Linked DNA regions of Oryctolagus cuniculus. The protein of the gene in region 1 binds, or shares a complex with, the protein of each later gene. Links are inferred from orthologs where the notes say so. Each region holds a gene or a part of one and is shown in the gene's direction. Other genes may lie near its edges.

What was found. Proteins that work in one complex are often made in the same cells at the same time.
Region 2: CAMLG (region 1) and GET1 share a complex: the UniProt entries of both Homo sapiens proteins name them as parts of the golgi to ER traffic (GET) complex. The link is inferred for Oryctolagus cuniculus from reciprocal best matches to the Homo sapiens genes CAMLG and GET1.

The regions. Positions count from the first base shown.
Region 1 is NC_091437.1:22,958,826-22,962,796, forward strand, and holds the start of CAMLG (guided entry of tail-anchored proteins factor CAMLG), read left to right. Parts: upstream 1-1,171; 5' UTR 1,172-1,274; coding exon 1,275-1,458; intron 1,459-2,996; coding exon 2,997-3,445; intron 3,446-3,971. UniProt on the Homo sapiens protein: Required for the post-translational delivery of tail-anchored (TA) proteins to the endoplasmic reticulum.
Region 2 is NC_091435.1:5,740,511-5,744,806, reverse strand, and holds the start of GET1 (guided entry of tail-anchored proteins factor 1), read left to right. Parts: upstream 1-1,496; coding exon 1,497-1,598; intron 1,599-2,304; exon of another isoform or gene 2,305-2,319; coding exon of another isoform or gene 2,320-2,574; intron 2,575-4,296. UniProt on the Homo sapiens protein: Required for the post-translational delivery of tail-anchored (TA) proteins to the endoplasmic reticulum (ER).

The DNA.
Region 1 (3,971 bases):
ACAGTCGAGTAGCCAGCAGCGTGAAATCTAATTTCAGATGATTTTGCATATTTTGTTTTGGAGTATTTATAGCTGTACCAAAAGTTAACATAAATACTTTGATATTACGGTTAGGGAAAAATTACTTAGCTACTTGAGTAATTTTTTATAAAGACGCTTTTTTTTTTCCTTAAAAATTATTTATTTGAAAGGCAGAGTTACAGAGAAAGGGCCGCCCTGAAGCCAGGAGCCTGGAACACCATCCATGTCGCCCATGTGGGTGCAGGAGCCCCGCTTCCAGTCCAGGCGGCGCCCGGCCTGGTGCTGAAGACGGCCAAGTGCTCGGGCCCCGCTCCTGGGAGACCTGTCTGAAGCGCCGGCTCCTGGCTCAACCCTTGCCGCCATGTGGGGAGTCAACCAGCGGATGGAAGAGCTCTCTCTCTCTAATCCTGCTTTTCAAATAAATAAAATACATAATTAAAAACAGTCTCGGGCGCCCCCAAACCTCCCATTCAGGGCCTGCGCCGCTGCGCCTCACGGAGGCCTTGACGTGCATCCACATCGGTATAGAAATCGCAGCAGAGAACAAAGCTCACTGCGGGGCTTCACACATCTTATATTTCAGGTGGTGAGACGCAGGCGACAAACACTCAGCACACCTGACAAGGTGGCTGTACATGCAAAGGAGAAAAGGGGTAGAAAGGACTAAAGAGCGTGGATCATTCACACAGTACGGACAGGGAAGACATCGCAGGGAAAGTCTTATTTAAAAAAAAGCGTGAGGAAAGCATGAGAACTAGCCCACTCGAGAGAAGAGCAAATTCTGAAGGGACTCAGAGTCAGCCCCGAGAAAAAATTCCTCTCTAAATCGTCGTTCGCCAATTTTCGTATTCCTGCGTCCAATGAACGAGGCCGCAGGAGTTCTGCAAAAAAGCGCCTGAAGCTGCATCCTCCATTTTGCTTCCTGGCACCTGTGACCTATATGCCTATCGCTTTCGTCACTTTCATCTCTTTCCACATCGCCAGGTTACGGACCATTTTGTTTATCTCTAATTTTAGAAGAGAGGAGACCAGCCGTCAGCGGAATGCTAGGCAGGCCGTCCTGGACCACAGGCGCTGCCCTCATTCAAAATGGCGGCCACAGCCTCGCGCACCTTCCCATCGGGCGGCGCGGGCGCGCTCGGCCCGCAGTCCCGGCCCCGCGCGCGGGGGGCGGGTCTACGCTGGGACGGGCTGGGGCGCCGTGCGGCCCTGCCCGAACTCACCCGTGCCGCCGCCGCCGCCACTTGCAGACCATGGATGGGCGGATGGAGCCGGTGACCGTCGCTGCCGACGGCGGGGACCGACCGGGGGCCCCGGCAGGGTCCGGCATGTCGGCTTCTCAGCGTCGGGCCGAGCTGCGGCGGCGAAAGCTGCTGATGAACTCGGAACAGCGCATCAACCGCATCATGGGTTTCCACAGGCCCGGGAGCGGCGCGGGTGAGAACGTCCGTTTCCCCGCAGTGTTCTGCCGACTGCTTGGCATCTTCGGGGTCATCTTGCCTGCCCCCACACTGCGTCTCGCTGGCCTCTCCCTGCCGCGCGTCCCCCTGCCTGAGTCCGGGGTCGCTGCCACGACGGCTGCGGGTCCCTGCGGGCGGCAGCCTGGAGACGGCCGTTCTCCCTGGTCTGCTGTGCCCGCGGTGCCCCCGGGAGGATGTCCCCTGCTGTCCGTTCCTGGTGCCTCTGCTTCCAGGGCTTTCCCTGGCATCCGCCTTGTGTTGCCGTTTGCTGTGTAATTGCTGTCGGGCACACCCGCTGGTCGGCTCTGCCCCCTGGGCCGCCCGCGGTGGGTCGGAGACGCGGGGCTGGGGGACATCCGGCCTGAGGTCCGCGAAATCGCCGCAGGCGGGATTGGAAGTCCAGTCCATCTGTGGCAGGCTGATTTTTAAGTTGATAATTTTGTTTGGCGCACAAATGATGTTATAGATGTTCAAATGGCTCTCATGGAAGAAAGACCCCCCCACCCCACCCCAGCTAGTGCCTGTGTTCAGCTCCAGGCCTTCCAGAAGTCAGACCAGCAGGTGCGCTGCGCCCACCGAGCTGCGCTGTCCTTGTTCGTTGAGACGGGTGTGACTGAGGTTGGGTTTGCATTGAGACCTGGAGCAGTGTCCCCAAGAGGGTGTCGAGGTGTTTTCTTAAAGAATCCTTTTCCCTGTGAATAGAACGAATCATTTAGCTCGCGAGTGGGAAGGTTTCCGTCCAGCATTTCTCTTAGTAATCGGCCTTTGGTTTTTGGTTGCGAGCTCCCTAGCTCTTCCTGAATCCCGGGAGGTTTGAGATGGAGTGTGGCTCCGAGCTTGCAGACACACTCCTGGGGAGGGAGAGCCCCTTTCCGAATTGTCCAGAACGGTGGTTGGGAGAACAGTTCTCCTTCGACGTTAGGATGCTTGTCTCTCCCAAAGCATTCTTCATCATCTTTCTTGGAGATGCGTTCTTATTTTCTTCTTTTGCTTTGAGATTTTTATCTTTATAGGTTTTGTTTAGGAAGAAAAGCCATGGCAGGGTCTTAAGGCTGTGTGTGGACACACTGTGGCTGCCTGACCCGTGAACAGTGGCCGGGGGACAGGCCACACCCTGTGCTCATAGAGCTCTGGATTCAAAAATCTAACTTAACATTCGAGCTAGAAAAAACAAACACACACTGATTTTTAGAAGGCTTGATGATTTTATGTATTCAGCCAGATAACTAGAGCAGGAACTGTGGGATATACTGTCCAGGAAGCGCAGGGAGAACAGTTTGCTCCATGCCGGCTCTCCGTTTGTATTTCACTCCTCGCCCCTCCTGCTAAGGCTGAGCTGTTGTGTACGGCTGGCTTTGAGGGTGTGGAGGGAGGAACCACTTCTCGTTTTATGCACAGTCAGTGTGGATTTCATTTCAGAGACTGCCAAGTTCTAGCTGCAGCCGCTTATTTTAAAATATTAACGTGTAGTGTTCGCCTGTATGGAATACATGAGACTTACATTTCTCTCCTCAGAAGAAGAGAGCCAAGCAAAATCGAAGCAGCAGGACGGTGACAGGCTGAACGCCCTCGGCATTCCTTCCGTCTCCAAGCGCGTGGTGCTGGGCGATTCAGTTGGTGCGGGAGCGGTGGACCAGCACGGCAGTGCGGCCGAGGTCCGGGGGGACGCGCTGGACTCTTTGATTCCGCCGCCCGAGTGCCCCGACGACCTGAACCTGGAGCTCCGGCTGCGCAGCAGAGGGGAGCTGGCCGCGGACGCCGTGCAGAGGGCCTCTCGCCACGGGCTGGAGCAGTACCTTTCCAGGTTCGAGGAAGCAATGAAGCTGCGGAGGCAGCTGACCAGCGAGAAGCCCAGTCAGGAGGACGGGAGCGCGGCAGAGGAGTTTGACTCTTTTCGAATATTTAGATTGGTGGGATGTGCTCTCCTCGCTCTTGCAGTCCGAGCTTTCGTTTGCAAATACTTGGTAAGGAAAAGACTGGGTTGGTAGCTAACTTCATGGAATATGCAAATTGCTTATAATGAATGCTTTTATATTTTATTTTTTGAGAGTTACACGGTAGGAGAGGAGAGAGAGAGAGGGAGGGAGGGAGGAATATCTTCCATCTGCTGGTTCACTCCCCACATGGCCACAATGGCCAGGGCCCAGCCAGGCTGAAACCAGGAGCCAGGAGCTTCTTCCAAGACGCCCACATGGGTGCAGGGCCCCAAGCACTTGGACCATCTTCCACTGCTTTCCCAGGAGCGTGAGCAGAGAGCTGGATTGGAAGTGGAGCAGCCAGGACACGAATTGGCACCCATGTGGGATGCCGGTGTTGCTGGTGTTGTGGCTTTACTGGCCGTGCCACAGCGCCGGCCCTGAAAAATTTTTTAAATGTAATTGAGAAGTAGAAGGACAGAGGGAGAAAGAGATTACATCTGTTTGTTCTTCCCCAAAATGCCTCAAGGACCAGAGCTGAGCTTGGGCCCAGAGCTGTGAGTCAGAAACTCAG
Region 2 (4,296 bases), on another chromosome or scaffold:
GTGGGGGGGGTGCTTTCCCAGAATGGAGTCTCAAGTGCTCCAAAATGGAGTCCCTACTGTCAAGGTGCTACTTCACTCTGTCTTATTTTTACAGCTGTACCAGGAAGGTTTAAACCTGTAAGCTTAAGCTTAATTTTTTACACCCGCACATATACAATTTTAACTCTTCAACACCAGCATTCCACGTGAGCACGGTTCGAGTCCTGGCTGCTCCACTTCCAACACGCTTCCCTGCGAATGTGCCTGGGCAGGAAGTGGAGGACGGCCCAAGTCCTTGGGCCCCTGATTCCCGTGTGGAATTCCAGGCTCCTGCCTCTGGCCTGGCGCAGTCTCGTTCACTGCAGCCATTAGGGGAGTGAACCAGCAGGTGGAGGCTCTCTCTCTCTCTCTCTGTCTCTCTCTGTCTCTGTAGTGAACCAGCAGGTGGAAGCGCTCTCTCTGTCTCTCTCTCTCTCTCTCTCTCTGTAGTGAACCAGCAGGTGGAGGCTCGCTCTCGCTCTCTCCCTCTCTCTCTCCCCCCCTCCCCTCCCTCCCTCTCCCTCCCTCACCCTCTCTCTCCTTCTCTCTCTCTCTCTCTCTGTCTCTCTCTGTCTCTCTGTAACTCTCCCTTTCAAGTTAATAATTTAGAAACCAACCAACCAACCGGAGTGAGGTGGCCTGTCCTCCTGGGGTCTGTGGGTGGGACTTGGTGGGGTTTTCCTCAGGGACTGGGGCAAGGGGGGAGGACGGGAGCAGCTGCCCTTGACCCCGTCTCGTCTGCAGCGGCAGGAGAAGGCCCGGAGCAGAGGCAGGCTCCCGTCCTTCGCTTTATTCTGGTTGGTTCATCGGTCACCTCCTAGCAGGATGCCCTTTCGTGGAAAGAATCCGTCCCGCTGTTATTAAATGCCTGCACGTCAGGTTCCCTCGCAACAAAGTTGTGGACCCACGACTTCGTGCACCATTTTGGGCAGGAACTAGTTCCCACAATGCAACCGTGGCTAAATGTCTTTCAGTTTATCCCCGGTGCGTGAATGTGAGTGGAGATGTGTAAACTGCAAAGCCTGATGTCCAAAATTATACTACAGGCAGATGATAACCAGCGCCTTCCCATCAATAAACTTATTTTTCGGGACCAGCGCTGTGGCGAAGTTGGCTAGGCCAGGGCCTTTTCCAGTCACCTGCTACTACGAGGTCTTCCACTTAAAGTTTACATTTAGGAATCAACGTGAGTCAACTTGGGGAAAGTATTAATTAAATGACATAAATAGCTCCCAGACAACGACAACCAACAGGTCCACACTGCATCAGCGCGAGCGGTCGGCGGGCACGAGGTGCCTACGGAAGCCCGGAAGGCCAAGGGAGCGGTGGGACCGTATCTACCGCTCTCTGCACTCGGGCGTACCGCGAAAAATGGCTCGCCTCGGCGCAGTGCGCACGCGCGCCGCAGCGGGCCTTAGCGCGCAGGCGCGGCCGCCGGCGTGGTGCCGGCTGGGCTGTGGCGGCGGCGAGCGCCAGGCATGAGCGCGGCGGAGGCCGACCGTTGGGCGTGGCTGCTGGTGCTCAGCTTCGTGTTCGGGTGCAATGTCCTTCGGATCCTCCTCCCGTCCTTCTCCTCCTTCGTAAGTGGCTGCCTGGCCTTCCAGCGGCCGGCGTGGACGCCGGCTCCGGGCCCGGCGGCGCAGGGGGGACGTAGCGGGGGTCTCCCCGGGCCGCCTCGAGGCCGGGCTCACAGCGAGATGCTGCGTGTCGTTCCCGCGGACGAGCTGCGGGGTTTTCCCTCAGGTCCGGCGCTCGGGGTCCCCGGGGCGGGGGCGGGGCTGGGCCTCGCGGGACCCCGGGAGCCCCGGGTGGGCGGCAGGTGTAGACGCCGGCTCCGGGCCCGGCGGCTCAGGGGGGGCGTAGCGGGGGTCTCCCCGGGCCGCCTCGAGGCCGGGTCACCCGCGAGATGCTGCGGGGTTTTCCCTCAGGTCCGGCGCTCGGGGTCCCCGGGGCAGGGGCGGGGCGGGGCCTCGCCGGACCCCGGGAGCCCCTGGGTGGGCGGCAGGTGTAGACGCCGGCTCCGGGCCCGGCGGCGCAGGGGGGGCGTAGCGGGGGTCTCCCCGGGCCGCCTCGAGGCCGGGTCACCCGCGAGATGCTGCGTGTCGTTCCCGCGGACGAGCTGCGGGGTTTCCCTCAGGTCCGGCGCTCGGGGTCCCCGGGGCAGGGGCGGGGCGGGGCCTCGCCGGACCCCGGGAGCCCCTGGGTGGGCGGCAGGTGTAGACGCCGGCTCCGGGCCCGGCGGCGCAGGGGGGGCGTAGCGGGGGTCTCCCCGGGCCGCCTCGAGGCCGGGTCACCCGCGAGATGCTGCGTGTCGTTCCCGCGGACGAGCTGCGGGGTTTTCCCTCAGGTCCGGCGCTCGGGGTCCCCGGGGCGGGGGCGGGGCTGGGCCTCGCGGGACCCCGGGAGCCCCGGGTGGGCGGCAGGTGTAGACGCCGGCTCCGGGCCCGGCGGCTCAGGGGGGGCGTAGCGGGGGTCTCCCCGGGCCGCCTCGAGGCCGGGTCACCCGCGAGATGCTGCGTGTCGTTCCCGCGGACGAGCTGCGGGGTTTTCCCTCAGGTCCGGCGCTCGGGGTCCCCGAGGCGGGGGCGGGGCGGGGCGGGGCCTCGCCGGACCCCGGGAGCCCGGGGTGGGCGGCGGGCGTGCAGCGACCCCTCCAGGGCGGGGAGCACGTCCCCCGCCGGGCTGGGCGATGACTGCTGTCCACGGGCCCGGGAGTCGCTGCCTGCGCCGGGTGAGGTCGCCGCCCCCTGGCCTGCAGAATTGGGTCTGTGCTTAGAGTCTCGCTCCCGGAGACGGCGAGGTGGGGATGGCGTCCTTGCTGGGCTCCTCCTCAGGGCGCCCGTGGGGCTGCGGGGCGGCGAGGGGCGCCCTCCGTGTGACCGCAGGGCGCTGGGGCGGCCTGGCCGCGGCCGGGCGCTCGGAGCCTGGGTGCCTGGGTTCCAGCGCTGTGCTGGACGCAGGGCCTGTTTTCTGCGCATGCGTGGTGGCCGTGGTGTGTCAAGACTAGGTGGGCTTGCTGCTGCTTTTATTATTCCACCACTGCTCGGTTGAACCCGTGCTTCCTACAAAATTGTATTCCGGGGCCCTGCTGTCACCGTTGTCTTGTGATGCAGCGAATTCTCTTATTTTTTGAAAAGGTTATTTATTTGAAATAAATAATGAGTGACAGTGAAGACAGAGTGACAGGGAGAGACAGACAGAGATCTTCCTGGGTGGTTTACTCCCCAAATGGCCACAGTAGTTGGGGTGGGTCAGGCTAAAGCCAATAACTCCATCCAGGTGTCTCCTGTGGGTGGCAGGGGCCAAGTGCTCAGGCCGTCTGCTGCTGCTCCCCCAGGTGGATTGTCAGGGACCTGGATCAGAAGCAGAGCAGCCAGGACTCTTTTTTTTTTTTTTTTTTTTGACAGGCAGAGTGGACAGTGAGAGAGAGAGAGACAGAGAGAAAGGTCTTCCTTTGCCGTTGGTTCACCCTCCAATGGCCGCTGCGGCCAGCGCACAGTGCTGATCCGAAGGCAGGAGCCAGGTGCTTCTCCTGGTCTCCCATGCGAGTGCAGGGCCCAAGCACTTGGGCCATCCTCCACTGCACTCCCTGGCCACAGCAGAGAGCTGGCCTGGAAGAGGGGCAGCCGGGACAGAATCCGGCGCCCCGACCGGGACTAGAACCCGGTGTGCCGGCGCCGCAAGGTGGAGGATTAGCCTACTGAGCCGCAGCGCCAGCCAGCAGCCAGGACTCTTAAATAAGACTAGTTTTTTGTTGTTTTGTTGTTGTTGTTGTTTTTTAACGATTTATTTATTTGAAATGCAGAGTTACAGAAAGGTAGAGAGAGAAAGAGAGAGGTCGTGCATCTGCTGGTTCACTCCCCAAATGGCTGCAGTGGCGGGAGCTGGGTCAGTACAAAGCCAGGAGCCTGAAGCCTGGAGCATCTTCTGGGACTCCCACAAAGGTGCAGGGCCCAAGGACTCAGGCCATCTTCCACTGCTTTCCCAGGCCACAGCAGAGAGCTGGATCAGAAGTGGAGCAGCCGGGACTTGAACTGGCGCCCATATGGGATGCTGGCACTGCAGGCAGCAGCTTTACCTGCTGTGCCACAGTGCTGGCTCCATGAATTCGTGCTCGCTCGCTCGCTCTCTCTTTTTAAAGATTTGTTTATTTGAAAGAGTTGGAGAGAGAAAAGGAGAGGCAGAGAGAGAGAGAGGTCTTCTATCTGCTGGTTCACCCCCCAAGTGGCTGCAATGGCCAGAGCTGTGCCGGGAGCCAGGAGCTTCTTCTGGGTCTCC